7 linked regions of the Coturnix japonica genome follow. The protein of the gene in region 7 binds, or shares a complex with, the protein of the main gene of each other region. Links are inferred from orthologs where the notes say so. Each region holds a gene or a part of one and is shown on either strand. Other genes may lie near its edges.

Region 1 (3,500 bases), on a different chromosome or scaffold from region 7:
AAGGATTGGGTTGCTGCCCACATATTACAGGAAGAAAAACATTAGTGTTTGATGATACAGCTCATTTTGCAGTTACTTCATTCCAACTGTAGCAGATGTTCTGCAGAACACTCTCTGCGCATACTTTTTGCTGGAGATGTCGCATTTCTCAGCAGTTCCTCTGTAAACATAGACAGGAAATCCAAATATGAAGCATGTATTGGTGGTACACCTGGATTCGTATGCAGTGGATAGTTGTGGGCCGGAAAATGGAGTTTGAAGGCAATAATGTGGAATGAGTTCTCAGTCCAACTGTCATTAGGAAGGAACTCGTAATTTATGATACTAAGTTTAAAAATAGTGGCAGTGGTGTTCGGGGCCTGCAGGTTAACACAGAGTGTCATTCTGCAGAGAACAGAAGGCAAAGAGGAACAACCAATGGGTGCCGACACTGCCCAACAGCTCTCATCACCTGGATGCAGTACCATGCTCAACAACCATTAACAGAAATCGCATGGGCAGGGACAAGAAGAGGACTTTCCCTCTGTGGTAAGACAGCTTCCTTCTTCAGAAAAGTGGAAACAGTTACTAACATGACACACTGCAGGGGGCTGCTCTGATAGGCAGGTGGCTGCCAGAGCCCTGTAACTTTGTGTTGAGGATTATGTCTAATAATTGAAAAGTTGAAGTATAGGGATGGTAACAATAAAAAGCACCTTCCTTCTATGCATGCCAGATGTATCATTTTCTATTCCACATGCCCTATTGATGTTCTTTGTTCTAGCTTTGATGACCATGACCCAGCAGTCATCCATGAGAACGCATCCCAGCCGGAGGTTCTGGTTCCAATCAGGCTTGATATGGAAATTGATGGACAGAAACTCAGAGATGCATTTACATGGAACATGAATGGTATGTAGGAGGGAGAGTTTCCTGAGACTAGAAAAATACAGTTGCATTCATTACCAAATATGAAGAGAGAACAAGCAAGTCCTTGCCCCATATAGGAAAATCTTTTAAGCTCTTCTACAGTGATGTGTCCTATTCGGCTCTCATGGCTCTTAGCAGATCCCTAACACTTCCATGGATTGCAGTAATTCCTGAATACCTGTAATCTGAAAAGTTAGATGGGATCTTAATTTTGTGTATTCCGTAAGTGGCAGACATTGGTGGCTGAGAAAAATGTCTTCTTGTTCTGTATCAGAAAAGCTGATGACCCCAGAAATGTTCTCAGAGATTCTTTGTGATGACCTGGATTTGAATCCTCTGACCTTTGTCCCTGCTATTGCCTCTGCCATCCGACAACAGATTGAATCATACCCAACTGACAGCATCCTAGAGGATCAGTCAGACCAGCGTGTTATTATTAAGGTAAATTACAGGGAGGCAGTAGAATGAGAGCTGAACTATACTTGCATTTCTCTAGTTTTGTGTTCTTGGTTTTTTGGATTTTTTGTTTATTTATTTATGGGGGAGAGATAGCACAAAGACTTCCCTCAAAACCAAGGAGTTCCTAATTCCAATCCTTTATCCAGGTTAGATTTTGTCCTTGAGAAATGAATGACTCGTTTCTTCCCTTGTCTCCAGCTTAACATCCACGTAGGGAACATCTCCCTTGTAGACCAGTTTGAATGGGACATGTCAGAGAAGGAGAATTCACCAGAGAAGTTTGCCTTGAAGCTGTGCTCAGAGCTTGGCCTGGGTGGGGAGTTTGTCACTACTATTGCCTACAGCATCCGGGGACAGCTGAGCTGGCATCAGAAGACATACGCCTTCAGGTACAGAACTGCCATCTTTCTGGATGGGTGTAGATGTGTTTTCTTACTTCATGGCTGTTAACGTCAACGAATCTTGAACTGCTGACACAGTGTAGAAAGCTTAATTTGAAATTGGTTCTTATAGATTGTATACTATATAGTTCTTAAAAGACTGTTTTATTTCTTGGACATCCTTTTGTTTCATCAATTGGTGATCCCCTAAGCTGGTATTATCTAAGGACCACTGCTTGTGCAAGGTTAGCAGCTCACATGGTTTCATTTCTTCTCACTGTTCTGGACAGTTGTCTGTCTTGAAGTGGCAAGTGAGTCACACGTCATGGGACGGTGAGGTGTTACTGGTGAGCTGTAAGAGACACTGTGCTGCTTGTATGAAATGGATGGAGTCCTCTGGATAACAGAAATGTTAGTAGTGGATCTAACCATAGCACTCTAAATGTACGTGACACATTTGCAGTCATGTCTTCCTCAGGCACAGCCCCTTGTTGCTGGCTGCCTGACTGGTGAAGAAATGAAGAGTTTTGATCTGGAGCCTGGTGTGTTTTGTTCTGTAGATCCTGGTGCCTCTCAACCAGCTTGTGCTTTTGCTCAGAGATCTTTTTGTGGTGGGTGTAGTGCATCCCAGGGCCAAATATCAATGAAATCAGTTTTTGCCACAGAGTGAAAGGCTTTTCTAATTAACACTGTCAGAAAACCTTGTGCCTTCTTCTAATGTCTGCACATGATGAGCCTTGGATACGTTTCTGTCTCATCAGCTCTGTCTGACCTGGGCCAAGCTTTGGTCTTCTGAGCTAAGCCTGACTGACACTGTAGCTCTCTGCCCTGGATGAAGTTGAGGTTGGTTTGATCACAGGCAGTTCTCTTAGCTGGAACGCAACAGTGTCAGGTTTGATTAGTCAGCTTTGTAACTTGCCTCCTAATATTAATTATTTCCAGTTGTGCTGTGCAGAGTTCTGTGGCAATGTACTGCACAGATGTTATCCTCCATATGTTGCTTAGTCTGCAGTCTGTTAAGTATTCCTTAATGTGTGCTGGTGGGTTTTTTGACCTCAGGCCATGGTGACACTTGAGGAAGTTTGAGAGTTCAGCAAGTGATGTATTGCAGAGGTGGGAGAAAGGTGCTACTGGCGCTGGTTTTGTGGAGGTCAGCTCAAGGAAGCTTGCAGCTAATCCCTAGTGTGGTTCACATGGAAGTTAAACTCTTCTCTAGGAGCAGGGAGTTGACTTCTCCCTTGCTATCCATGACAGCAGATTGATATTTGCAGATCTGTGCTGTGGAACAGCTAGAGCAGTGGGTATGTGTTGCTGAGGATGGGTGGGAGCTTGGAGGGCAGTCAGTGGCAATATGATGCCTCTAGTACTGCTTCTTCTTCCCTGCTGCTTTACACATCTACTTTATATGTGTCCCTGGTTGCTGAAGAGTGCTTTGTTTTTGGGGTGGCTCAAATAGGTAGATTTCAGGCCTTCTTTAGGCTGTTGCCATTTTTTAAGGGGGTGATTTAAAAACGAGGAAGGAAAGCACAGAAATAAAGTACAATAGCTGTGAACCATTCAGAGGCAGAAAGCACCTAATTTAAGACTTGCTTTTTTTGTCACAGTACAAATATGCCCTCCTCTTCCCTCTCTTCTTTTTGCAAAGGAGTACTTTTGAAACCTTCCTGTGATTAATGATGTTTGGGTTTTGTGGTTGGGTAGTTCCTGAATTCCCAAACCACAGCAGTGATGGTTGCTCCAAAGTTATTCCGC
Region 2 (4,284 bases), on a different chromosome or scaffold from region 7:
GAATCCCCGTATCTAAGATGTCTGATGCACACACTGTACTGCTTTCTCCTCGGCACGCTTCCTGCTCCTCCATATTTCCAGCAAATGGGTAAGTGTCCCCACACGATGATCATTCTGATGTGCAGGCTTGGATTTCCTATTCATACTCCTTCAGAAAGTGAAGTACTGTGACAAAGTGAGGACCTACAACATGTCCTTTAAATGCAGAGAGGGGACAGATGTTGTCAGTGCTCACTCAAAGTCAAAACATGCCCTGAGATGCACAACCAGAAGCCGAGGCCTGATCAATATTGAAGCTCCCCAATTAATTGAAGTAGGTAAATCATTTTCAATGCTTCCACCACAAAATTGGTTGCGACTGTTTGGTAGGGCTTTTTGTTTATTTGTAAGGCTGCAGAAACCCCCACACCTCCAGCTGAAAGAATCCAAACAGTCCCGGTCTTGAAAAAGGCCAAAATTAGTTGGGAACAAACGCACCCTCAGATCCATCAAAGAAATCATTTATACCGAAGGGAAAGTCACATAACCAAAATAAACAGCAAGCCCATTGTGCAGAGAAGACCTGCCACTGTTCTGACAACAGAGACTCTATTCCAGGCTGCATAAAACATCACAAGCAAAATAAACCCAAGGTACAAACAAAATGCCATCGCCTCTTCTTTTGTCTCGGGCACAAAGCAGCAGGGCAGGCAGGCCAGGGATCCGCTCCTGCAAGGCCGACTCTCCTCAAGGTCACAGCCAATTTCGGTGGGGGGCCGAGGAGGTGGCGAGCAGCAGGGCTGCTTTGGGTCCGAGCTGGCAGAAAAGCCGAGTGTAAAAGTTTATGAGCTCATCAGGATTGTTGTACCATTACATCAGAGGCAATTATAAATGGCCAAGAGCAGGAGATGGGGAGCCAATCAGATCACAGATAGGATGTCAACCTAAGACCAACTGTCTCCTGGCTTTGACAGAAGGATTTTACCTCCATAATTCAAATCCCAAACCAAAGCAATCTGCACTCACTGCTCCTATCGCCGAGCCGCTTACTAGCACTCCCGGCCACGGGCTCGGGCCGCCGGGCCTCCCGCGGGGGAAGATGGCCCCTCCGGGCCGGGCCGAGACGCGGCCACCCGGGCGGGCCCTGGGCGACCCCGGGCAGGGAGCGAAGCCCCCGGGGCGCGGAGCGGGGCAGCGGCGAGTAGGGGCAGCGGCACTGCCGGGGGGGGACACCCCGCGCTGGACCAGGCGGGCCGCCCGCCGCCCGATCCCCGCCGCACCGCCTCCGCCGACCCCTTCGCGCCGGGCCCGGCCGCTCCCCGCCGGGGACGACCGCCGTTTCGCCCCCCCTTATCCCGGCGGAACGGAGGCCGCTCTCCGGGAGCCTCGCACAAAGGCTGGGGAAGGAGGAAGGAAAGGCAGAGAGGCAGCCATTTTAGAGCGAGAGCAGGCACAGACAATGGCAGCTCCCCAGCAGCGCCGACCCGGCGGGGAGAAGCCACGGGAGAGGGGCCGTCCCGTCCTCCCCCCCCCCGCCCCACACCACCACCCTCCTCAGGGCACCTCTCTCCCCCGCCGCCCCCATCCCCAGCCCGACGGCCGCGGCCTTCCGCCCCGTGTCCCCCCCCCCCGGCGCGCCGTCCGCCTCACGCGGCCTCGCGGTTACCTGCTGGCTCCGGCCGAGGCTCTGTCCCCCGCCGCTGCTCCCGGGGCTCATGGGCGCGTGGTGACTCCTCGGCGGGGCCCCGCCGGGCGCTGCGGCCCAGCCCTGGCCGTTGCCCCCGCCGTACTGCGAGACCATGTCCGCGGCGCCCGGGCCCTTGCCGGCGGCTCCCCCGTCCTGCGGCCCGCCGCTATAGTCGCCCCCGGGGTAGCCCTGATAGCCGCGGGCGGAGCTGGGGGAGGTGAGGAGCTGGTTGAGGGTGGGGGTGGCCGTGGGCTGAGGGGTGGCGCCCCCTCCTCCTGCTCCGCCGGCGGCCGAGGGCCCCATGACCCCGAAGCGCTGCTGCTGGAAGGCGGCGGCGGGGGACTTGGCGCCGGCGGCCGCCTGAGCGGAGCTCTGCGCGCTGCCCCGAGGGGAGCTCAGGGCGTAGGCCTGGGGGGGAGGCGGGTAGGAGCCGGCGCTGCGCCCGGCGCCGGCCGCGTAGTAGTTGTTGTACTGGTGGTTGGGGAAGCCGTGCTCGGCGCCGCCGTGCGAGTTCTGGGGAGGGGGCGGCCCCGCGGGGGCTCCCGCCGGCCCCGGGTAAGACTGCTCCAGGCCCCCGCTCTGCAGCGCTGCCATGCCAGGGCTTTGTTGTCCGCCATGTTGGTGGAAGGTAGCGGCGGCGGCCGCAGCGGCGGCGGCGGCGGCAGCAGCCTGGGCGCCCCGGCCGTAGGGCTGCCCGAAGCCGTAGGCTGGCGGGGGCAAGGCGGCCGGGTGGGAAGGGGGAGGCTGCTGCGGCGGCTGCTGCTGCTGCGGCGCCCCCACCCCGTCGCTGCTGCCGCCGCCGCCGCCACCGGGCGGCTCCGGGAGGTTATTGTTCAGGGTGGCGGCGGCGGGCCTGGGGCCCGGGTTCCCGTTCGAGCTCTTCAGGTCGGACTCGGCCCCTGCGCCCCCTCCGTTGCTCTCGGCCCCGTCCTGCAGCTCTTTCCCCGGGGGGCCCTCGCTCTCCGCCTGCTTCTCGCCGCCGCCGCCGCCTCGCTCCGCCGCCGCCGCCTCGCCCCCCGCCTCCTCCAGGGGACAATCCCGCTGCTGCGCCTCCGCTTTCTTCAGTTCGGCCGGAGCCGGGGCGCCCAGGCTGCTGGCGGCGGCGGCGGCGGCGGGGGCGACCTGAGCAGCCATGATCCCCCCCCCCCCCGGACCGGTTCCCCCCCGAGCTGCTCCCTGCCTGGCCGACCGGCGTGAGGCCTCACTGCTCTGCTGCTCCCCGCTCAGGCGGCGGCGGGCTCTTCAGGGCAGCGGGGGCTCATTCCCCCCCAGCCTGGTTGGCGAGGCGGGGAGGGCTCCGCTGGGCTGGGCTTCCCGGGGCCTGGCCCCGCTGTACCTCCTCGGTTGCAGCCGGCAGAGAAAGGGGAGGAGGAGGAGAGAGTGGGGGGAAGGAGGAGGAGGAGGGGGGGACCCGGGACGGGGCTCCCGGTGCGGGAGAGGCGGGAGGGAGGGAAGGGGGAGGGGGGTGGGGGGAACACGGCGAGCGGGCGGGCGGGCGCCGTCCCCGGAGCCGGGCCGAGCGGCGGTGGGGCCGGGCTGGGTGAGCCGCGCGGCAGCTCCCGACTCTGGTCCGCCGAGTGGGGCTCACTCCGACACGAGGCTCAGCACTGCCATTTTACCCAGCGCCGCGGCCGCCTGCCAAACCCGGAGCGGAGCGCGGCGCGGCCCGGACGGGAGCCTCCCCCCCTTCACAAAGGAGGAGCGGGCCGGCCCCGGCCGCTCGCGGCTCGGCGCGGCGGAGGCTGCCGCACGCAAAACCCGCAGCGGATCCGCGGAGCCGAGCCCGGCACCGAGAGCGGGGCGGTGCGGCGGAACCGGGGCCGGCGTGCGGGCGGTGCCGGGGCAGCGGGCGGCGGCACGACCCTGGCAGTACCGCCCGGCTCGGGGCGGGGGGTCAGGAGCCGTGACCTCGCTCGGAGCGGCCTTCCTTGCCTTCCTCACCTTCCCGGGGCACCTCCGGAGGCGGCGGGGGCGCAGGAGCCGCAGCCCAGTTTTGGGGGAAAGCGGAGCGGGCTCATGGCTGCGTTGCTCGGTGGCGGCTCTGGAGGTTCAGCGAGGAGATGGGCCGCGGGTCAACGAAACGCCTCTCCCCGGTCCCTAACCATCCCATTTAGAATTAGCCTTCACTAAGTGCTGCGGGTTGTCATTTCCTCTCTGCTGGTCGTGTCCCTCTGGAAAGAGATTTGGCAGCATGCCAAGGCAATAGCTGCACACACGGACGTCCAAGAAAGTCGGGTTCCCACTCCTGTCAAAGCGATGGCAGCGGGTGGCCGGAAACTGCCTCGGGGTGGTTGAATGTGTAGAACCACAACCACCTGAATGTGTCCAGACACAACGTGTTGAGCAATGGGCCAGAACGCTCCACTCCGCAGTCTCCAGGACCATGAGGTGCTGGAGCTCCCCAACTGTCAAAAGGTGAACTGAGAATTAGGCCATGCTCTTCTTTAACCATTTCAGAGCCGAATTCCCATCTCCTCCATCCCCACAACAGAAGGGAGGAGAGGAACGTACCTGAATCTCAGTGCTGGACACGGGCTGTCCCGTCCCAGCATCTAGTTTTGTTTTTAATTGTAATTCGTACAGGTCTGTGGAAAAGATACAAAAAGATGAGTTAGTTA
Region 3 (3,955 bases), on a different chromosome or scaffold from region 7:
TGTGCACACATACACATAAGGACATGCCTGCACATGGAGGTACATACATACACACAGAGGTACATACATGAGGTGTACACATGAAGATCCATATACACCCACACACACATGTATGAACATACATGCAATCATATGCACATATAATCACATGCACTAACAGCTACACACGTGTACACACATGCTAACACATGTACCCATGCACATCCATGCACACATGCAGATGTGTTTACACCACCCACACACATACACACATACATGCACACACATGTACACACGTACGTACATGTACTCAGGAAAACACATATGAACACACATGTACACTATTATGAACACGTGCACACATGTACACATACACACACATGCATGCAGAGTGGGCACGCATATGCACACACGTGTGCACACATATGCACATATCAGATGCATACACGGCCCTAAACATGCAAACACACACATGCTGGCAGAGATATGTGCACACAATCACACACATGTGCACACATACAGCCAATGGGGGCGGGGCCTCACAAGTGGGCGGGGCTTTGTTTAAGGGGCGTGGCCACACAGAGGGGGCGTGGCTTAGTGAAGGGGCGTGGCTTAGTGAAGTGGTGTGGCTTATTGGAGGGGGCGTGGCTTAGTGGCGGCTTTTGAGGGGGTGTGGCTTGGCAGAGGGGGCGTGGCTTTGCTCTGGGGGCGTGGCTTAGCGGAGGGGCGTGGATTATTGGAAGGGGCGTGGCTTATTGAAGGGGGCGTGGCTTATGGAAGGGGCGTGGCTTATTGGAGTTAGCTTGGCTTAGTGGATGGGCGTGGTTTATTGGGGGGCGTGGCTTTGCTCTGGGGGCGTGGCTTAGTGGAAGGGGCGTGGTTTTATCGGAGGGGGCGTGGCTTAGTGAACGGGGTGTGGCTTATCGGAGGCGTGGCTTTTGCTTTGGGGCGTGGCTTATTGGGTGGGGCGTGGCTTAGTGAAGGGTGTGGCTTTAGTGGAGGGCGTGGCTTATAGGATAGGGCGTGAACGGGTGTGGCTTATCGGGGCGTGGGTTATCGGGGGGCGTGGCTTTTTTCTCTGAGGGCGTGGTTTAGCGGAGGGGCGTGGCTTAATGTGGGAGTGGGCGTGGCTTAATGTGGGAGTGGGCGTGGCTTATCGTGGGAGTGGGCGTGGCTTATCGGGGGTGGGGGGCGTGGCTTCTCACGCCGCGCGCTCCCTCCGCTCCGGGCGCCGCCGCTTCCGAGTAAACAGCGCCGGGCCGCCCCCCCAGCTTTAGGCCCGGCCCGGTTCGGTTCTGCCCGGTCCAGCACCGCCATGGCCGCCCGTGGAGCTTTCCCTCTCAGCCCTCTGCCTCCCTCCGGCTCCGCCGCTCCTCCTCCTCCAGGGCCCGGACCCGGTATGATGAGAGGCCCCAACCCGACTCCGGCCTCCGGGGCCGCTCCGGGATATCGTCCGATGGGGCCTTCGGGAGCGCAGTACCAGGTGAGGGCGGGCGGGGGGCGGCTCTGTGCTCTGTATTGGGGATGGGAGGTGGGAGGTGGGATTGGGGGGTTACTTAGAGGCCTCCAAAGGGGCCGTGGGGGTTCAGAGGCCTTTTGGGCCCGGAGGAAGCGGCGCTGCTTCCTGAACGTGGGGCCCTGGCGGTGGGGGGGGAGCGGGGCTCCATAGGGGCGGCTGTCCTGGCCCCCCACCCCCATTAAAAAGTTAACGGAGAAGTGTTCTGCCCTATGGAGGTGGTCCCGTACCCCCCCAGGCTGTGCTGTGGGGGTCCTGGCCCAGGAGGGTCCATCACAGCCATCCTTGTGCATTTCCAGCTCCGGAGATGGAGCTGTGATGGTGAACGTTAAAGGGAAGGAATGGGGATAAAGGGGAGTAAATGTGACCCGCTGCAGTGCTGGAAGCTGTGGACTCTGCTCTCTTTCTGCTGCCTTTTCTGCTGTTGGTTCAGCCCCCACGTGTTGTGGGGTTGTTTATGGAGAAGCCTCGTTCTGCGATGAGTTCTGAGTTCCAAACCGAAGAAATCCAGTCATCCACATGGGGGGAATTTCCAACTGCTGTATCAAAGGAGGAGAAACAACCCGTGAAGCTGAAAAACCCCGAAGTGAAAACTGAGATGAGCTCAGCCAGGCCAATAGGGCCCTGCATTGGCTGTAATGTGACTCAGAGCTATAGGGAGGCTTCATCCCGACCTTCCCAGGTTGCAGAACCCAGCGGGCATCGCTCTGTTGTGGGTAAACAGGGGCACATATGTTTGCTTTCACCCCCCCCCCTTATCCCATGCTGGCCATAATACTGCACTCATGGCAGGTGTTGGGAGCGTATGGATGGGGTAGGGTGAGACTGGGAGCATATGGCAGTGCTGCAGTGTTTGGGTAATGCAAGTCGTTGTTGTCGTGTCTGGCCGGCAGTTTGCTGGCACAGGGAGGGGATTGGGGGCTGATCGATCCGGTCTGTCTTTTGTTTTGCAATTTGCAGGCCTGTTTAAAGCAGCTCCTCCCCACCAAGTGGTCAAAACTGCGGTGCCCGCAGGACTTCTCAGGGGGTAACCAGTGAGTCAGGCTCCTTCTGCTGCATTATGCTGGCTAGGAGAACACAGCAGCCCTCATGTATGGCAGCGGGTGCTTAGGGGCTCTTTAATCAGTGGATTATTAAATGTATGTTAATCCTTTGACATCCCTTGCCTGCCTGGCTATGCACCAGCAGCTCAAGAAGGGAAATGGGGAGGACAACTCACTCTAGCACTGATGTTTCCAGAGCAGAAAGGAGTGGGAGTGTGTTCATGCAATGGGCGATCAGCTGCACGGTGGTGTGTCCACCCCCATCCCAAGGCTCAGGTTAGCATAAATCCATCAGGAGTTCCCTCTGTTTGTTGTAATGGAGGTTTCAGGCTTGGGAGATCCTTCCCGAGTTATCAGGTTGATGCTGTGGTAGGGAATGGGCTCAGCTCTGTGATGCAGTGGAGGAGGGGCTGTGCAGAATGGCCTTGAGGTTGCCCTGTGCTGTCGCTTTGCTGGCGTAGATCAGTGGCAAAAAAAAGAAGAAGTGGAGTTAATGAAGTGCCCCGTTAAAAGCATTTCATTGGCACTTGCTGACAAGCAGGAATCCCATTTCCGTGGGACGGAAGGGCTGTTGCAAGCCAAACAACTGCTAACAAAGTGATATTGGAGGAAGCGTGGCTGTGCATGGAAGGAGTTGGAGCTTTCTGCTTCCAAACAGACCTGCTGGATCCCATTAGGAGAGGAGAGCTGGGTGCTTGTCCCATGGTTGGCCTGGGGACGGCAGCAAGGCTGGAAGTGCAGCACACAGCAGGGATCTGCAGCTTGCATTGCTGCATGACCCACCCTTCCCAGTGGGGGACTGTTTCCAAGGCAGGTTTCATCAGAGGCTGAGCATCCAGCAGAATGAAGCCGTGACACAAAGCAGAGCAATGCTGTGCTCTCAGTGCTGGATAGAAGCAGGCAGCAGCAGAGCTCAGGGCACCCTTTGTTTCTCCTTAAGGCTCATGGAGGTTCTGCTCGGTGGGAGCATCTCCAAAGCTTCCTGCTGGAGGCCTTTGCTCTGTCTTCCTCCATAGGGACCCTCAGAGCCTTTCCCTGCACATCTGAGCAGTGTTTTCCACTCTTCCCATTGCTTCCCCCTTTGTATTACTTGAGGCTGCCACGTTTTCAAGCAGGAACCCAACACCTTTCTTCCTTGTTCCTGCTTGTGTTTAAGGCATAAATCCCCTGAGTTCTTTCTCTGCCTGCTGCAGCCTCTGTTCCTTAGGTTGCTCTTTGTTTTACACCTCCTTCCCCCTCTTACCCTGTGCTCTCCATGGCCATCAGCACGAGGTGAAAGTCCCAGGCTGTAACTCGTGCATCCCTTCTGTTCTCTTGCCAAGTCCCTGCGGTGTGGAAGCTGCTGAGAAAACTTCACTTAATGTGGCCTTTCCCCTTCAGTGTCAGCATGGCTGCTGGGTCCTGGTGTGAGCGCTGC
Region 4 (4,134 bases), on a different chromosome or scaffold from region 7:
GCCCCCTCCTCGCTGGCTCCCGCGCAGCCGCACCCCCCCACCCCCACCCGGCCGCTCGGTGTCGGCGGGGCCGTGGGTGCCGGCATCGCCGCTCGGCGCTGCTATTTACATCAGCGGCGCGAAGTGCCCAATGGCGAGCAGGGAGCCAATCAGATGGCAGATTAGATGTCAACTCGGAGGCAGCTGTCTGGAGACTGTTGCAGCCCGTTTACCTCCACAATTCAAATTCCAAACCTTGCGGAGAAGCGGAGCCGCTCCTCGACTACGGGCTCCGGCCGCCACGGCGACAAGCGGCGGTTCCCGGCCGGAACGAGCGCGGAGGGGCGGCTCTCGGCGGCGCCCCGAGCCTTAACGCCCCCCCCGGGCCACGACCCGCCGGGACGGGCCCGGCCCCTGCGGATGCGAGGGGCGAAGCGCGGCGCTGGGGCCGGAGCGGCGCCGTGAGTCAGGCGCACAGCGACGCGCACACACGCGCTCTTCCCACAGAGGGAGAGAGGGGAAAAAAAAAAAAAAAAAAAAAAAAAAAAAAAAAAAAACACGAATAAAAAACTAACAGGCGAGCTGCGCTGAGCGGCGTGCACTGCGGTAACTCCGCGTTAGAGACAAACTAATTAGCGCGGACAACTCGCTGTGTGCGGATAGAAAAATACAGCCCGAACTGTTAGCAAAAGAGAGAAGCGCCACGGGAAGCCCCAAGGGAACGCACCGACCCGCACACACACAGCGCGGCCGCACGGCGCCCCATCGGCCGGGCCGGGCCCTCGGCCGCTGCTCCCAGCAGCAACGCGGCGCCGTGAGGCCCAGCCGGAGCCCGTGCCCGCAGCACGGCGGGTGTCGAGAGGGGGCAGCGAGCGGAGGGAGCGACCCACGCGGGGGATGGGGGGGGATGGGATGAAGTGTGGGGGGGAAAGGGCAAATAAAATCTGAATAAAAATAAAGAAAACAAAAAGCGGCGCGGGGACCCGCGAGCGGCGCGCGGGCCCCTTAGCGGGCGCCGCGGGGCTTACCTGCGTCCTGCCGATGGGCTGCGCGGTGCTGCCGGGGCTCATCGCCGGGTGGTTCCTTTGTTGCGCCGCTGCCCAGGCCGGGCTGGCCGCCCCGTACTGAGCGCCCATGTCCTTGCCCATGCCCATGCCCGCTGCCTGCTGGCCGCCCGGGGCGGCCGGCGCCGCCTGGGGCTGGGGCTGGGGCTGCGGCGGGGCGCCGGGGCCGCCGTAGTCGGGGTATCCGCCGCCGTAGCTCCGCATCATGGGGCTGGGAGACGTGAGCAGCTGGTTGAGGGTCGGGGTGGCCCCGGACGGGTGCTGGTTCTGCCCGGAGAACCGCGCGAAGCCGCCGGCCGCCGCCGCCGCCGCCGCCGCGCCGGAGGCAGCCTTGCCGAGGCCGGCCCCGCCGCCGGGGCCCATCATCATGCCGCCGCCCGGCTGCCGGGGCGAACCCAGCACCCCGTAGCCCGCCGCCGAGCCCCCGTAGCCTCCGCCGCCGCCGCCGCCCGCCACGGCTCCCGCCGCCGCCACGGCTCCCGCGCCGCCGCCGCCCGCGCCCGTGCCCGTGCCGCCGCCGCCGCCGGGCCCGCGGCCGTAGGGCGGGTAGTGGTTGTACTGGCTGTTGGGGTACCCTTCGTGCGAGTTCTGCAGGGGGTCCATGCTGTTGGGGGCCGCCGCGGGGTGCATTATCCCCATCCCGGGGCTTTGTTGTCCGCCATGTTGATCAAAGCAAGGCCCGGCGCGGCTCGCCGTAGCGCTGCCGGCGGCGGCGGGGGCAGCGTTGCCATAATAGCTGTTGAACTCCGAGACACCCACCGCGGAGGGGCCGCCGCCGCCGCCTCCCCCGCCGCCACCGCCGCCGCCGCCGAGGCCGCCGCCGCTCCCGGCGCTCGGGGGCGGCTGCTGGGGCTGCTGCTGTCCGCCCAGGGGTCCCAAGCCGGGGTGCTCGTAGCGGCCGCCGATGGGCTCGCCCATTTTGCCGGGCATCTCCTCCTCGTCGGCGCCTTTATTCAGCATCTGCTGCGGCGGCTGCTGCGGCGGCTCGGCCGGAGCGCCCAGGACGCCGTCTTTTCCTCCATGTTGCTGCTGCTCGATGTCTGCGCCGGGCTGCGCAGCGCCGCCACCGCCGCCGCCGTTGTTGTTGCCGCCGCCGCCGCCGCCGAGGCTGCCGCCGCTATTCTGCGCGGGATGGTGCTGAGGCGGCGGCTGCTGCGGCGGCAGCGGCGGGAAGGGGTTCAGCGGCTGCGGCGGAGCGTGGTGGCGGTGGTGCGGGCGGTGGGCATGGTGGTGGTGGTGGGCACGGTGGTGCGGGTGGTGGGCACGGTGGTGGTGGTGGGGCGGCGCGGCGGGGTGATCGCCTCCGACGCTCTTCAGCTTGTGGTTGGGGAGCAGCCCCGTCTCCATGGCCGAGCCCGGGGTGGAGGAGGAGGAGGAGGAGGAGGAGGAGGAGGAGGAAGGCGGGGAGGACGACGAGGAGCGCGCCGCGGAGCCGCCGCCGGCCTCCTTCAGCGCCGGCTCCGAGGAGGGGCCGCCGGCCGCGCTGCCGCCGTTGGGAGCGGCGCGGTGGGCCATGGCCGGCTCGCCGTGCTGCCGCCGGGCCGGCGCGGGGTGCTGCTGCTCGGCCGAGGGGCCCCCACCGGGGCCGCGCTCCGGCGGGCCCGGCGCCTTGCCCTGCCCGTTGTTCGCCCCCGCCGGAGCCGCCGCCACTTGCGCGGCCATGATCACCGCCACATCGCGAGGTCGGAGGGACCGGCGCCGGGACCGAAAAGACTAAAAATCGGGCAAAAAAAAAACAAAACAAAACAACAAGACGGGAGTTCGGCCCCCGCGCTCAGCGAGGGGGGTGAGCCGGGGAGGGGGGAGGTGTAGGGGGGGGTGGGGGGGTATTAGGGGGGGTTGGGGGGGGTTAGGGGGGGTATAGGGGGGGTTGGGGGGGAATTAGGGGGGGTTGGGGGGGGTTAGGGGGGGTGTGGGGGGGGGTGGGGGATGAGGAGCGGGGCGACAGGGCTCGGCCGGGCCGGGCCGTCCCTGCGGGCCGCACAAATCCCCTTCTCGGTCCGCGGCCGAGAAGTGCTACGAGCGGAGCGGAGCGGAGCACAGCGCCTCACGGTGCGCGCCCGCCGCCGCGCTGTGACTTCATGTTGGAACTTTTTTGTTCGGCTTTAAATGAAACTTTTTTTTTTTTTCCTCCTTTCCTCCCTAACCCGGATATGGGGACGCGCACGTCTGCCTCAGCCGCGCTGGCCCAGCATGGCAGCAGCGAGCGGGCGGGCGGGCGAGCCCCGGCAGCCATCGCCCCCTCCGCGCCCCGCGCACTCGCAAAACGCGGACTGGAATCCGCCGGCACCGGCGCTCGCCGCCCGCTCCGGGACGTGGAGCGTCAAGGGGCGGCGGATCGCGATGCCCCGCGCCCGCTCGGCGCTGCGGGGACGGGGCCGGCGGCGGAGCGGTCGGGCCGCGGTCGCTGTCCCGAGGGAAGGGAGGAAAGGAGCGGGCGGCCTCGGGGCTCCGCAGGCGGCGGGCAGAGTTCGGAGGTGTGGAAAGGAGCTCCGTTCCGTTCCTCTGGCGGGGGATGCAGGATGTTTCGCGGAAAAACACGACTTTCTCTTCTCTTTCTTCTTTTTTTTTTCTTTTCTTTTTTCTCCCCTCCTTCCCCCCCTTTTTTTTCCTATTCCTCCCCCCCGAAATCTGTATTTTCAGTGCTGACAGCTATAAAACGTAACTTAAATTCTGAAGCCGTACCATCGGTGCCATTGTCCACATTGCCCAGCTGTCTCCAAATTCTAATGGTCATTTGCGCTGATGATGCTTTTATATATAGGGCTGTTCTCAATATGTTCTCTGTACTTATTTGCAGATAATGGGAGCTGATCAAGAAGAGAGAGGCATGTAGTCTTGTAATTGTTTCCCCAAACAATGTAGTTTCCAGTGGGCACAGGACACTGTGCGATACCAGAACAAAAGTCAAAACATGTCATCCAAATAGCACGTGGAAAGCTGTTACTGGTGACCTACATTTTTAAACCATCCCTCAGAATGGAGGGGGTTTTTTTTGGAGTGTTTTTGTATGACTACTCCGATACAAATGGTACCCAAGCATAAGAAAAAGTAAGCATTACACACTACATTAAACTAATAAAGCATCTGG
Region 5 (4,033 bases), on a different chromosome or scaffold from region 7:
GAGTGCTCCAGGGAGTGCATTTAACTGACAATCTGAAAGAAAAGTCAGCTGTGGGAGTACAGACTGAGAAAGGGTGGAGGAAATCAGCTCCACTTCTAGATCGAGCTCTGTAAATTACAAGATCTTAATTACATTAAATACATTATGGTACCGTATGCACATTTCTAGTCAGGCAGGAGTGGAGGAAATGTGGCTGGCTGCTAAGGCTGGAAGCTGCACTGCTGTGCTTTAGACTTGATCTTCAATTCAGAAAGTTTCTTAACCACTTTGTCCTAGTTTAGTCATCCACAAAACAAAGGCAATAATCCCTTCTTCACAGGGGTGATGAGAGGTTTAATTAATTAATGTTTACAAAGCCCACTGAGATTTCTGACTGACACTTTAAGTCATTCAGAATACCACTTCATTGCATTTGTTCCTTCTGCTGCCCCACTCGAACATCTCCGCATTAAGATATCCAAAGGAAAAGATGGAAAGAAGAAATAGAGATAGGTACCCAACAATGAATGCAGCATTTCTAGCCCACTGCTGCCCATCAGCACACTGAGTGCTGCCTTTTCTGCAGGCAAAGAACTCTGTGTTTATCCAGACACCTGCTGCCCTTTCTTCGCAGATCTGTTACGCTCACATCTCTGCCGTTTTTGCCTCGGAGCACCGTGTAGGTGAGCAAGGTGCTGGATGGCAAAAATAGCAGGCGATTGAGTCGGGCTGACCAGACAGACAGAGGCAGCGAGGGGGATAAGAGCAGAGGGATGAAAGCCCCCGAAGAGAACCAGCAAGTGAGAAAAGAGGCAGAGAGAGAGGCGAGCTGAACGTGGGAGCGCCCATCACAGCCGGGGGACTGCACGCACCGCGCTATTCCGTGCAGCGCGTTCCCAGGGACGCTCAGGTACACGGGAGCACGTTATTTCGAGAGCAGCGCAGCACGAACGAGGCCACACATGTGTCCAAGTGCCGGAGAGAAACTGAGCTCTGGGCACCGTAGACGGGCGGCACAGCCGGAGCTGCGGACACCTGAGCCGGGATGTCTCGGTCCCGACATTGTCCCCGGCTCGGAGCGAAACCTTTGTGCGGGCAGTTTCTGTAGGGGGCGTTTGTGGGTTTTCAGATACAATCAAAACGCAGATAAATGCAAATGTCATTCGGCTCCCTTTCATTGTCAGGGAGGACACATGAGGATAAAACGTTGTGCTCTACGTCCTTTCCCCTATTATGCGTCCTACCGCTTTTGTCCTAATTTATCCCGTGCATAATTTATTTACGTGCGTATTGTTTCCCCAACCAGCAACTTTAAAGAATGAGTGGAAATTATAAAATGTTTTATTAAACAACTTCTCGATATAAAAACGCAGGTGGTGCCGGGCAGTCCGTGCCGGTCCCGCTTCCCCCGCTCAGCAGCGCAGCACTTGTGCAGGCAGAGAGACGAGCTGCCCATTGTTCGCGCTCTCCCACGCCGCGCGAGAGGAGCCGAGCTCCGCTGCCCTCCCGGCTCAGCCTGGCGGGGCCGGGGCGGCCCGTTCTCCCCCACCCCCCGGGGCTCCCGGGGAGCGCTGCCCGCTGAGAGCGGCTCCGGAAGCCGGGCGAGAACTGCGAGCGGGACGGAGCGCCCGGGGCATCAGCGCGACAAGTTGCTGCGGGCGGCGCGGGTCCAGAGAGCGGCGGCGGCGGGTGCTGAGCCCCGGGATCCCCTTAAAGGAGCGCGGGGCACCTGCACTGCCGCTGCCCGCGGCCGTGTGGGCGCTGCGGAGCGCACGCGAAATGAAAGCGAAGGTTTTCTGCCAGGACGGAGCGGGAGAGCCGGCAAACGTGTCAGCACCTTTCCGCAGCCCGAGGCTCATCCTCCCCGCAGACTGCGGAGAGACGGCGGCAGGAGTCCCCGGAACCACCTCCGAGCGGTTTGCCAACTCCAGCCGGAGGGACGCGAGTCAAAAACCAACAAAAAAAGAAACAGAAGAAAAGAAAGCGGAGCCACATCCCGCAGCCCTCACTTCGGCTCCGGACTCCGTTCCGCGCTGCTGAGAAGTGCGGGGAAGCGCCGCCGCCAGGTGTCCGCGCTGCGCTGCGCTCCGTCCGCGGGAGCGCTGCCCCGGGAGGCACAACTCTCCCGCGGGAGGTTACGCGGCGCCGGGTCGCGCTCTCCCTAATGCCCCGGGATTAGCCGCGCGCCGGAACCCGAGGGAAACGCCAGAGGAGAGCAGGGGGGACGGCGAGCGATCCCGCGTCCCTCTTAGGACGGGGACCCGGGTGGCGGCGGCAGCCGAGTCGCCCTCCCGCCCCCGGCGCCCGCTCCCGAGCCGCGAGCGGCACCAACTCCCCGCCGCTCGGAGCCTTCCGCGCAAACGGCGCCGCTGCCCCGCGCCGCACCCCGCACCCCGCGGCTCGTCGCTCCCCGCCGCCCGCCCCGCCCCGGCCGCCGCCGGACCCCGCGGGACGCCGCCAGGTGCGGGTGCGCCCCGACCGGGGCCGCAGGACGCGCCGCCCGCCCGGAGCCGCCGAGCCGGGGCCGCGCGAGGAGGCGGGGAGCCGGGGCCGGGCGAGGCGGGAGGGCGGCCGTTCTCGTAGCGGAACCACGCGGAGCGTGTGCGGGTCTGAGCCCTACTTACGCTTTCAGGGGGTTGTGAATGACAGTCGCCATTTTGCTACAATGTAACAGAATATTGTGTCTCGGAGTTCTAAAGGTTCGCTCAGGGGAAGCGCCCGGCCAATCGGCGCGGGTCGTGCCGGCCCGCCGCCCAATCGTGCTCCGCGGGCGGGGCCGTAGCGCTGCTAGTTATTAGGGGAGCTGTCAAAGCCCAGAGGTCGCTCCTGCCTGTGGAGCGGGCGGCGAGCGGCCCTTAAAGGGGCAGCGCCCGCGCGGGGCACGCGGCCGGGCGGATCCTGGCAGGGGCCGCCCCCGGGGACACCGCCCCGCCCGCCGCCCTCCCGCCGGGCCGGCACCGCCATCCGCCCGGCCCCCGGGAGCCGCTTCCCCCCCCCAGGAATTTCCCTCCCGCGTCGGGTGGCCGCGGCCCCGAGCCCTTACATAACCGTAACGACCGGCCGCGATGACCGACACGCCCCGCCCCGGCCGCTCCCGGGACGGGACGGCGGCGGGGGCGAGTCCCGGGAGCCCGCGGCCACCTGCCGCTACACGGAGTGCTCGCAAGGAATTGGGAAGAGCGGCAGAGCGCCCGAAGGAAGCGGCGGGCTGGAACTCCGCGCCACTCGGAGTACAGCGCCGGAATGGAACGGGCACGGTCCGAGCCAGCAGCTCCCGCCCCGTCCCTCCCGAAGGACTCCCCTCCCTTCGGGCACCTCTGTCCATCCAGAAACAAGCAGCAGCCTGCCTCTCCAATCCTCGCATTCATAAAACTGGAGGAAACTCAGCTACACGCAGTTAAATCATTCCCATCGCAGGAGCAAGATAAGCCTACAGAGGGTAGCCCGATCCACAACTTAATGAAAGAATGGAAGTAAATGTTTGAGAGATGTTCAGGTGTAACACAGAGAAAACAGCAATCGTTGAGCTCATGGGATGAGCTTTGCAAGGGCAGAAAAACTAAATCTCTCCCAACTGTTTGTCAAAATAAAACTTTCTAATGTGTGGGCAGCAGAGAAAAGGCTGAGAGATGAACAACAGAGAGGTACAGAAATTATTACATGCAGATAAGGGGAAAGAGCAGTGCATCACTTTCCCAGTCATGCAGGATTCAGCAGCTTTGCCAGAGTCCCCTTTCCCAAAGCAGCACCTGCTGCAGCTCCAAGGCCAACCTGCCCACTGTGTGCTCCCGGAGGGAACCATCTTCCCCTATCTGAGACACTTGGTTACAGGAGAAATAAGCTTCCTGTCAGCTGGAGAGTTGCCAGACTGCCGAGATGTATCCTAACCACGGTTCTGGGAAGCAATCTTCAAGAACGTTTCCATTATCATATTGCATTATATTATATGGTATAGTAGTGGTCCAGGTGACATTGACTGTAACTGCAGAAAGCCCTGTTCGGTACTCACACTGTTCACAGGAAAAGCTAACCACAAACTGCCGAGCTCTCACAA
Region 6 (4,092 bases), on a different chromosome or scaffold from region 7:
ACAAGGGCAGCCTGAAGTGTACTGCTGGACAGTAGAAAACACATCAGGAAAAAACATATAGGCATAAAGGTGGTCATTAAAGCTGAATTTATCCATAACAGTTCTGGAAATAGAGCAGAGGGGCGAAAGTGACAGTGAAGGATGATGAAGCCTGTGCAAAAAATCCCTCTTCCCACAGATACAGCGTGTGAGGCCCTGATCAACAGACCAGGAGTTAGAGAAATCTAAGGAATAACTGAAAGAAAGGCGGTCTTTTGAAAAGAACTGCTCAGCAGAGGTGTAACAAACTACTCCAGCAGGGCGAAGTATCACACCTGAGGCTTCTCACCACTGAGATCTGACAGCACAGAGGGATCCTATCTGAACCACACAAAGGGAAGAAGATCTCTTCTGAGCTGGCAGCATGGGAAAGAACAAAGGCAAGATGAAACACACAAGAGCAAAGGGCGAAGTGACCTTAGCAGAGAAACACATGTTTTCAGAAAGATCAAATAAACCCAAAATCTAACAGCTCTCAGTAAATAGTGCAAAATTCTCCTTTCTATTTAATTCTTCAAACAGTACATTTTTTTCTCATGGCATTCTATCCCTGCTTATACACTCCCATTTCTGAAAATGAAACAATAACGATAACAATACCTGCAGTAATCAAGAGAGATCATTTTGCCAAAGAGAGAACAAAAAAACCCAGTAATCTGAAGAGGAGATTTTCCCTGGAGTGGAGGCATAACCTGATTCCAAGGCATGCTGGAAAACTTTACTCTTCAACTTGAATCTTCAAGGAATTGATTCAGATGCAGACAGGCCGCGTGCGGTGATGAGGCTGCAATATCTGCACTCGGGGTAACGGCTCGTTCTTTTATTCGATAGGATATGTAAACAGGTAAATGAAGTTGCAACTTTGGGTCTTTTGTAAGCAATGGAAGACTGGCTGCCTCAACCTGTTTTGACCAAAATGAGCCTGAGGTCAGGAAGAAACTAGAAGTGAAGAACAAACACGGAAGCAAAAGCAGAACCAAAGGAAATAATCATGGAGGGGCGCAGAGGGTCCTACAAGAGGAGCTCAGGCAAAGAGTGATGGACAAGAAGCTCTGTTTCCCCTGACAGGCAGTGGAAAGGTAACAACCAGATGCAGGTACTCAGGCAATGTGGATACCAAGTGAGACGCCTCTCATGGAGAAACAGGCAGTGCAGACAAGTCAGACTTTTCTAGCACCCAAATAACTAATGGAAACAAGTTCTGCTGCATTAATTCTGGTATGAATTAACATTTCTCATGCTTAAGAGGCCAGCAGGCTCCTTTCACATCTACATGGGAAAGAAGCAGGGTCATCCAACTGTCTTAGCAACTCTTGGAAATACCAAAGGAAGAGCAGTGTTGTGCCAACAGAAGCCTTGGAAAAAGAAACAGCTACCCTCGTGCACAGCCCTCCCGGGATGCCTGCGGCCACCCAGCTACAGCCACCCTGAGCCAGACCATCTTAACCAACACACGTGTTCACAGCACAGCTACTGCCACAGATCCGCACACCTGCTTCTGTCATATCTGCCCATCCAGCCACAGACTGCTGATGTACATCGGCACCGCTCTGCCTGCTCACTGCTCTCAGGGAGCAGAATGCCATCTAAAAGTCCTTCACCCTGCAAGCTCATCATAGCCAGGCTCTGCAGTACACAAGAAAGATCCAATACATTTGGAGCAAGCCTGAATTATGGGGACAACCCAGAGGCCTGCAGCGAGCTCCCGAGATTCCTTTGTACAGGAACACGCAGCGGATGTCTTCAAAAAGGTGTCACAGAAGGTGCCAGAACGCTCAGGAGAGAAAACACGCAGGGACTGTCTCCATCTGAGCTATATCTGCGTTTCCTGGGTCTTATTTCCTTAAAAGTGTATCAGCACGAGACATCCGAATGCTATAAATGGTGGTCGCTTTCAACCATCAGTCATTTAAAGAACATCGTTTCTCCTGGCAGCAAAACAAGGTTAGCGTATCCCCTTAAATGGAGATCAAAAACCTGATTCCTTAAACAAAAGCTGGCGATTTTTTAAAGACCTGAGTGATTCCTTTAATTAAGCGCGGCAACCTGACGTTCCCTCGTGGGTGAGCGCCCATCGCCTGGCAGAGATCCGCAGCGCTAATCTCTCCAAGCCCCTGAAAGTCACCTGTTAAGTAGCCAGCGGATACATCAGAGCCAAGGCTGGAGACGAGAACCAGAGGCAGCGCCACACGGCCGCGTCGGACCAGCATCAGAATTGCTTTTCAAAACACAAGTTTGCTTACAGAACAAAGTGTCCTACGAGCCCGTTTGGGTCAGACGCGGTGCAGATCCCGCACCGTGACGAGGCTCGGGAGCACGCTATTCACCAAGCACGGAGAATCAAAGCAGCAATCACAGCACGCAACCCCCCAGACAAAGCCGTATAGCAACGAATCGGTCACATCGTGTGCACCGGCGGCCCCGCGGCTCCCGGGCGAGGCGGGGAGCGGCGCCCCACGGGCGCGCAGCAGGGGCCGCTCCAGCCCGGCGCAGCCTCCGCTCTGCACTCATCCCTCGATCCGGAGCCAGCAGCTCGCTAACTTTCCCGACTCACCACCCCATGGACCAGAAACTCAAAAAGTTTGCTTTTCGTAGCTTTGCGAGCCCCTCCTGTAACTTCGTCTGTAGCCATCGGGGTCTGCTCAGCCTCTCTCACTCTCTCTCTTCCTCTTTCTTTCCCTTTTCTGCCTTTTTCTCCAACTCTCCCCTCTGAGTCCTGCTGGGCTCTCACACTTCTAATAGCGCGGAGTGGGGAGGGGGCCCCTTCAGGGCCTTCCTGACGGCCCACTCGCGCTCGGCCTCAGCTGCTGCATTCCTCCACTGATAAGCCAGAAATAGTTTGCGCTGCCGGGCTCTGCGTGTTTACTCTGCGGGGACAGAAAATCCCGCTTTTTAAACCTCTCTGTCCAAACACCCGAGATAAGAGCCAGGCAGATTGAAAACACGTCCCGGCCTTTCGCGGCGGAGCCGCAGCCGCTCCTCCTCGGCGCAGGGGATGGTAAATTCTGGGGCAAGGGGGAGGGGGCGGCCTCGGCTCCCGGGGAGTTTTCCCATTACAATATGCGGCGGGAGAGCGGGGAGAAACAATGGCTCCCCCCGTTCGCAGCGCTCCGCCCGCGCCGCGCTCCAGGCCCCGTCCCCGGGGACCGCCGGCAGCGGGCAAACATTCGCTGGCGGCGATTCCAGCGCCAGGATGAGAACGGCCCCTGCGGCGAGAAGAGGCGGCGGGAGGCGGAGAGACGGGAGCGGGCAGGGACGGAGCGGGGGAGAAGGGATGGGGGGCGTGCGAGCAGCGGGGGCGGCATAGCGGCATAGCAGCACGGCAGCACGGCAGTATGGCAGTATGGCAGTATGGATGTATGGCAGCACGGCAGTATGGCAGTATGGCAGTATGGCAGTATGGATGTATGGCAGTATGGATGTATGGCAGTATGGCAGTATGGCAGTATGGATGTATGGCAGTATGGCAGCATGGCAGTATGGCGGCGGCCCCGCCCGGGGCGATCTGTCCGGGGCTCTCCGGCCCCGCTACGCCCCGTGTGACTGACGGCTGCAGACGCCGCGATCCCCGCAGCTCGCCGTTGTGCTGCCGCAGCTCGCGGCTCCTCGTGCACAGCCCCGCGCGGCACCACGAGACCCCGCGGCCCATCGGGGGGGAAGGGGCCTCTGCAGCGCTTCTCGGCGGCCCCTCCGTGATGGAGAGCAGTAATAACGGCTCTGCGGTGCACAGCGGCAATAACGGCTCTGCGGTGCACAGCGGCGGGGCCGCCTCCATGACGGCACAGCGGCGTGGCCGTGGGGCTCTGCTCACCGCGGTGTGTGCGGCTGGAGGGGGCGGCTGCCTCCCGTCCGCCTGATACATTGATAGAGGTGTTGCCAGAGGGGTTTGTTCTGTTCCTCTCCTTGAGATTGATGTCTATAGACTCTGAATTTTTTGGCAAGGCTGCAAGTAGAAGGGAATCAGAAGGGAACCTGAATTGAATAAAATCGCTGCTCTCACCCAGTGGTTAAAAACAAGCACCAAAAAGACACTGAATCGGGCAGCAGCGAGGA
Region 7 (4,280 bases):
GCCACCCTAAGGGGAGGGGTCGCAATTTAGAGGAGGGGGTCCCCACACAACCCCACTCCTCTCCCAATAAACCCATCCACACCCCCCATATCGCTCACTGTTCGTCGTAGGGGGAGTCAGACACCTGCAGCACTGAGGCTTGGAAGTCCTGGATCACCTCCTGGGGGGGGAATGAATGGGGGGGAGTCACAGAGGGGACCCCAAAGTCCTTTTCTGTCCCCCAAGATCCTGTGTTCCCCCAATCTCCCTCTGTTCCCCCCAAACCCCATTCTGAATCTCGCTCTAATGTTCCCCCATATTCCCTCTTCCCCCCCAAATCCCCCCCAGTGGGGTTCCTCCTCTGTGCCCCCCCCCATTGACTCACATTGCAGGTGTAGTTGTGCCAGGACTTGGAGACGGGGGGCAGCTTCTCCTTCTTCTTCCAGTTGGGGGGGGCCCCCTCCCGGACCGGCTCCTAATGGGGGGGGGGTGTCAGGGAAAAGGGGGCGGGGTCAGAAAAAAGGGGGTGGGGAAATGGGGGTGGTTTAACCAATGAAAGGGGGCGTGGTATTAAATGGGCCTGGCCAATAGGGAACTATGGAGCTTGGATGTGGGGCAGGCAGTTGTGGGGCTGAGCCCTGCCCCACACCTTGGCAGCGATCATATAGGGCGGCACGATGTCGATGTTCATCTCTTGGAACAGCTCCCTGCACTGCATGGAGATGAAATCCCCGGCCAACGGCGACTTGACGATCCCTATGGGGCGAACAGGTGAGCGATGGGGGCTGCCCCCATAACCCTGCCCCATAGCCGCCCCATAGCTGCCCCACACCTTGCTGCAGGATGTATCCATCGTGCACTGGGATGGCTGTAGTGTGCGTGGCTCCGCTGTCCAACACCAGCCCCGTGCTGCGCCCATTGGCAAACCTGTGCTCCTCTCATTAAGGGCTGTATTAACAAAGACACCCCCACAGCCCGCCCCACGGCTGCCCCACATCTATGGGGCTGGATACGCTGTTAGAACAGCAGTTTTACACAAGAAAAAAGCAGGGATGTTGTAGTGTTCGAACATCAATTCCGTCAGCTTCTCACGCTTTGCTCTGGTATTCCACTGTGGGGCACAAGGTAGGAGATGTGGGGCTGGGGACCCCCCCCAGCCATGTGTGGGGTGATGTGGGGTGATGTGGGGCAGGTTGGGGGTCGTACCGGTGCTTCAGACATGAGCACGGGGTGCAGGCCTGGCTCCGACTTGACGTGTTTGCCATAGGTGTGATCCAGGATGGCCTGGAAGCACTCCCAGTCCTCAACTGGGGGGGGGGGATGGGGGTCAGCCTGGCCCCATAAGTGCAAGGGGTGACCCTATTTCCATAGCATCCCCATAGGGTGCTCTTATGGCCCCATAAGTGCAAGGGGTGACCCTATTTCCATAGCATCCCCATAGGGTGCTCTTATGGCCCCATAGGATGACCCCAGCCACCCTGTGTCCCTATGCAGTTACCCTATGGCCCCATAGGGTGACCCCAGCCCCCCATGGGGTGACCGCATGGCCCTATAGGATGACTCTAACCCCACAGCACATCCCCATGAAATGACTTATGAGCCCACCATGACCCCCAATATGACCACAGCCTCACAGTGTCCCTATGGGGTGCCACAGAACGACCCCAACCCCTCAGTATCCCTATAGGATGGCTCGTAACTCCATAGGCTGACCCCAGCCCCACAGCAATCCCCATAACACAACCACCCCATCCCATAGAGCCACCCCACCCCCTCAGTGCCCCCCCACCCCCATATAGAGCCCCCCCCATATAGAGCCCCCCCCATATAGACCCCCCCCATATAGACCCCCCCCCATATAGACCCCGCCGTCTCACTCATTCCGTTCTTGAGCGGTGACAGCACCTCCATCCCCTCCCGTGCCACGTGCAGCGCGTTGGTGTCGATGTAATAAACCTTCCCCCCTTTCTTCTCTTTGTCCCCATCCAGCTCCAGAGCCGCCTCCTCCGGGGACAGCAGCCCCACCGTGGTGGGGAAATCCGCCTGCCCCCCCCACGATCACCCCAGCCCGGTAAGGGGGGGGGGGCTCAATTATATGGGGCCAGGTTCACGGGGTGGGGGGGGCTGGGAGCCTCGGCGGTACGGGCAGTGTGGGGTGATGGGGGTCCCGGCGGTTCTGGGGGGTGTTATGGGGTTTTTTGGGGGACACGTGGGGGGGGAAAAGGGGATCCCGGGGCTGGAGGGGAGGGGAAGGTTGTGGGGGTCCCAGGGCTGTTTTGGGGGGGGGTAATAGGGATGGGGGAGGGATTGTGGGGGTCCCAGGAGTGTTGGGGGGGTTGAGGGTTAATGGGGTCCCAGTGATTCTGGGGGCGTTGGGGGGGGGGGGCTCAGGGGGTCCCGGGTTTTGAGGGACACGGCGGGTCTGGGGGGTCTCAATGTGGGGGGGGGGATCCCGGTGTGGGGGGGCAGCCCCGTACCTTGGGACAATCCTCCCCGGCATAACCGGCACGGACGGAGAACGAGCCGATGTCGAACACGAGCGCCCCGACCTCATCTTTGGGGGGGGGAGAAAGGACCGTGACACCGGGACCCCCCCCCAAATTAACCCCCCCCCATCAGCTCCGATCCCGGTGCCCCCCCCCCGTTCCCGTACCGCCTCCGTAGACCCCCCCGCTCATGGCGGCGGTTCAGCACCGGACAGCTCCCGTGTGTGTGTGAAGTGGGAGGGAGGCTTGGAAGGCCGCAGCCAATCAGAGCCCGGCTTCCTCTGCGCCGTGCGCTGTGATTGGATGCGGGTGCAGACAATGAGGGACGAGTCTTAAAGGGGCCGCGCTGTTTTATTGGGGGGGGGGTTGTGGTGCCCGGGGGGCGGGGCTAAAGAGACCCCCGACGGCCTCATTAGACCGCGCCTTAATTACCCTGTTGCCATGGGAACCGAGCTTTGTTACCGTGATAACGACAAATGAGATTGGGGGACCCGGGGGGGCCATGGGGGGAGTGTTGGGGGGGCTCGGGATGTACTGGGAGGGGGATGGGACGAACCTGTGGGGCCGGGATGTCCCCGCCCCACACTTGGGGGTCCTATGGATTATTGGAGACTCTTTTTTCACCCCCCCCCCCTTCAGGGCTGAAATAAGCCCCGCCCACCGAGGGGGGGGGCGTGGCCAACGGGCCGCCTCCGAATGGGGCGGAGCTACGATTGGCTCAGCCCACTAAGCCCCGCCCACAACGCACCGGTGGGGGCGTGGCTTCGCTTAGCTCCGCCCACTCCGCACAAGGGGCGGGGCTTCGCCTGCCCCCCCCCCCCCCCCATAAAATGTCCTTTTTAAACTTTGGGAATTAAAATGAAAATACGAACCAAAATGGCGCTCGGGGGGGGGCGGTCGGAGGTTGGGGGGGGTCATAGAGCAGACAGTTGCACCAAGGGCTACGTTTATTGTGGGGGGGGGGATATGTACAGGGGGGGGTTATTCACAGCGGGGTAGCGCGGCCCCCCCGTGTTGGGGGGGGGCTGTAAACATTGAACCACTCTCAGTGGGGCGGGGGGGGGGGGGGGGGCGGGGCTGGAGCTGGGCCCCCCTTCCTGCCCCCCCGCGGGAGGTAGAGGCTGTTGGAGCCGGGGGGGGGGACCCCTACATTCATCAGTGCCGCCCCTTTAGATGGGGGGGGGAGGGGAGGGTGTAATTCCCCCCCCCATATAACCAAAATGTGGGGGGGGGTCTCATGCTGGGGGGGTCAGGGGGGGTTGGGGGGGTTTCTATACCCCCAAAGGTATAAAAAAATGGCCACAAACCGGAGCTCCCCCCCCCCCCCCATGGAGGTTCACAGCAAACAAATAGCACTACAAAAAGGGGCGGGGCTTCTGCCCAGGGGGCGGGGCCCGGCACAAAGGGGAGGAGCCAATTCACTGTCCGGTCCAATGAGGGGGCAGTATGTGGGGCTGGGGGCGGGGCCAACAGGGAGGGGGCGGGGCCTAACTGCCCCCATTCGGGGGCTGTAAACACGGCCCTGGGGGGTAACACAGCTCTGCCCCCCCCGCTATGGGNGGGGGGCTCCAACGTGTCCAGGGGGGGTAACACAGCTCTGCCCCCCCCGCTATGGGGCAGCTCTGGCATCTGTGGGGCAGCAGCGGCTGTGACTGACCATCAATGGGGGTCATGCTCCCCCCCCAACCATGGGGCAGTTCTGACCTTGCCATGGAGCTGATGGGGGGAATGAGGGGGGGGGGCGATTTGTTCTTAGACCCCCCCCCCATATAATGTCCTCAGTGGGGCGGCTCCGGCGCTAAAGTGCAGCTGGGT

The links.
Region 1: ACTL6B (region 7) and SMARCB1 share a complex: the UniProt entries of both Homo sapiens proteins name them as parts of the BAF complex. The link is inferred for Coturnix japonica from reciprocal best matches to the Homo sapiens genes ACTL6B and SMARCB1.
Region 2: ACTL6B (region 7) and ARID1A share a complex: the UniProt entries of both Homo sapiens proteins name them as parts of the neuron-specific chromatin remodeling complex. The link is inferred for Coturnix japonica from reciprocal best matches to the Homo sapiens genes ACTL6B and ARID1A.
Region 3: ACTL6B (region 7) and SMARCD2 share a complex: the UniProt entries of both Homo sapiens proteins name them as parts of the BAF complex. The link is inferred for Coturnix japonica from reciprocal best matches to the Homo sapiens genes ACTL6B and SMARCD2.
Region 4: ACTL6B (region 7) and ARID1B share a complex: the UniProt entries of both Homo sapiens proteins name them as parts of the neuron-specific chromatin remodeling complex. The link is inferred for Coturnix japonica from reciprocal best matches to the Homo sapiens genes ACTL6B and ARID1B.
Region 5: ACTL6B (region 7) and DPF3 share a complex: the UniProt entries of both Homo sapiens proteins name them as parts of the BAF complex. The link is inferred for Coturnix japonica from reciprocal best matches to the Homo sapiens genes ACTL6B and DPF3.
Region 6: ACTL6B (region 7) and SMARCD3 share a complex: the UniProt entries of both Homo sapiens proteins name them as parts of the BAF complex. The link is inferred for Coturnix japonica from reciprocal best matches to the Homo sapiens genes ACTL6B and SMARCD3.

Annotation. Positions count from the first base shown.
Region 1 is NC_029530.1:7,053,063-7,056,562, forward strand, and holds part of SMARCB1 (SWI/SNF-related matrix-associated actin-dependent regulator of chromatin subfamily B member 1), read left to right. Parts: intron 1-390; coding exon 391-528; intron 529-763; coding exon 764-891; intron 892-1,183; coding exon 1,184-1,350; intron 1,351-1,566; coding exon 1,567-1,757; intron 1,758-3,500.
Region 2 is NC_029538.1:102,295-106,578, forward strand, and holds the start of ARID1A (AT-rich interactive domain-containing protein 1A), read right to left. Parts: upstream 2,801-4,284; coding exon 1,646-2,800; intron 1-1,645. UniProt on the Homo sapiens protein: Involved in transcriptional activation and repression of select genes by chromatin remodeling (alteration of DNA-nucleosome topology).
Region 3 is NC_029542.1:1,260,750-1,264,704, reverse strand, and holds the start of SMARCD2 (SWI/SNF-related matrix-associated actin-dependent regulator of chromatin subfamily D member 2), read left to right. Parts: upstream 1-1,155; 5' UTR 1,156-1,294; coding exon 1,295-1,462; intron 1,463-3,955. UniProt on the Homo sapiens protein: Involved in transcriptional activation and repression of select genes by chromatin remodeling (alteration of DNA-nucleosome topology).
Region 4 is NC_029518.1:46,220,755-46,224,888, reverse strand, and holds the start of ARID1B (AT-rich interactive domain-containing protein 1B), read right to left. Parts: upstream 2,801-4,134; 5' UTR 2,706-2,800; coding exon 1,008-2,705; intron 1-1,007. UniProt on the Homo sapiens protein: Involved in transcriptional activation and repression of select genes by chromatin remodeling (alteration of DNA-nucleosome topology).
Region 5 is NC_029520.1:23,752,190-23,756,222, reverse strand, and holds the start of DPF3 (zinc finger protein DPF3), read right to left. Parts: upstream 2,801-4,033; 5' UTR 2,636-2,800; coding exon 2,604-2,635; intron 1-2,603. UniProt on the Homo sapiens protein: Belongs to the neuron-specific chromatin remodeling complex (nBAF complex).
Region 6 is NC_029517.1:105,896-109,987, forward strand, and holds the start of SMARCD3 (SWI/SNF-related matrix-associated actin-dependent regulator of chromatin subfamily D member 3), read right to left. Parts: upstream 2,801-4,092; 5' UTR 2,672-2,800; coding exon 2,594-2,671; intron 1-2,593. UniProt on the Homo sapiens protein: Involved in transcriptional activation and repression of select genes by chromatin remodeling (alteration of DNA-nucleosome topology).
Region 7 is NW_015439878.1:127,799-132,078, reverse strand, and holds the start of ACTL6B (actin-like protein 6B), read right to left. Parts: upstream 2,801-4,280; 5' UTR 2,658-2,800; coding exon 2,633-2,657; intron 2,534-2,632; coding exon 2,457-2,533; intron 2,023-2,456; coding exon 1,857-2,022; intron 1,287-1,856; coding exon 1,186-1,286; intron 1,091-1,185; coding exon 993-1,090; exon of another isoform or gene 954-992; intron 907-953; coding exon 812-906; intron 751-811; exon of another isoform or gene 736-750; coding exon 629-735; intron 455-628; coding exon 365-454; intron 161-364; coding exon 99-160; intron 7-98; coding exon 1-6. UniProt on the Homo sapiens protein: Involved in transcriptional activation and repression of select genes by chromatin remodeling (alteration of DNA-nucleosome topology).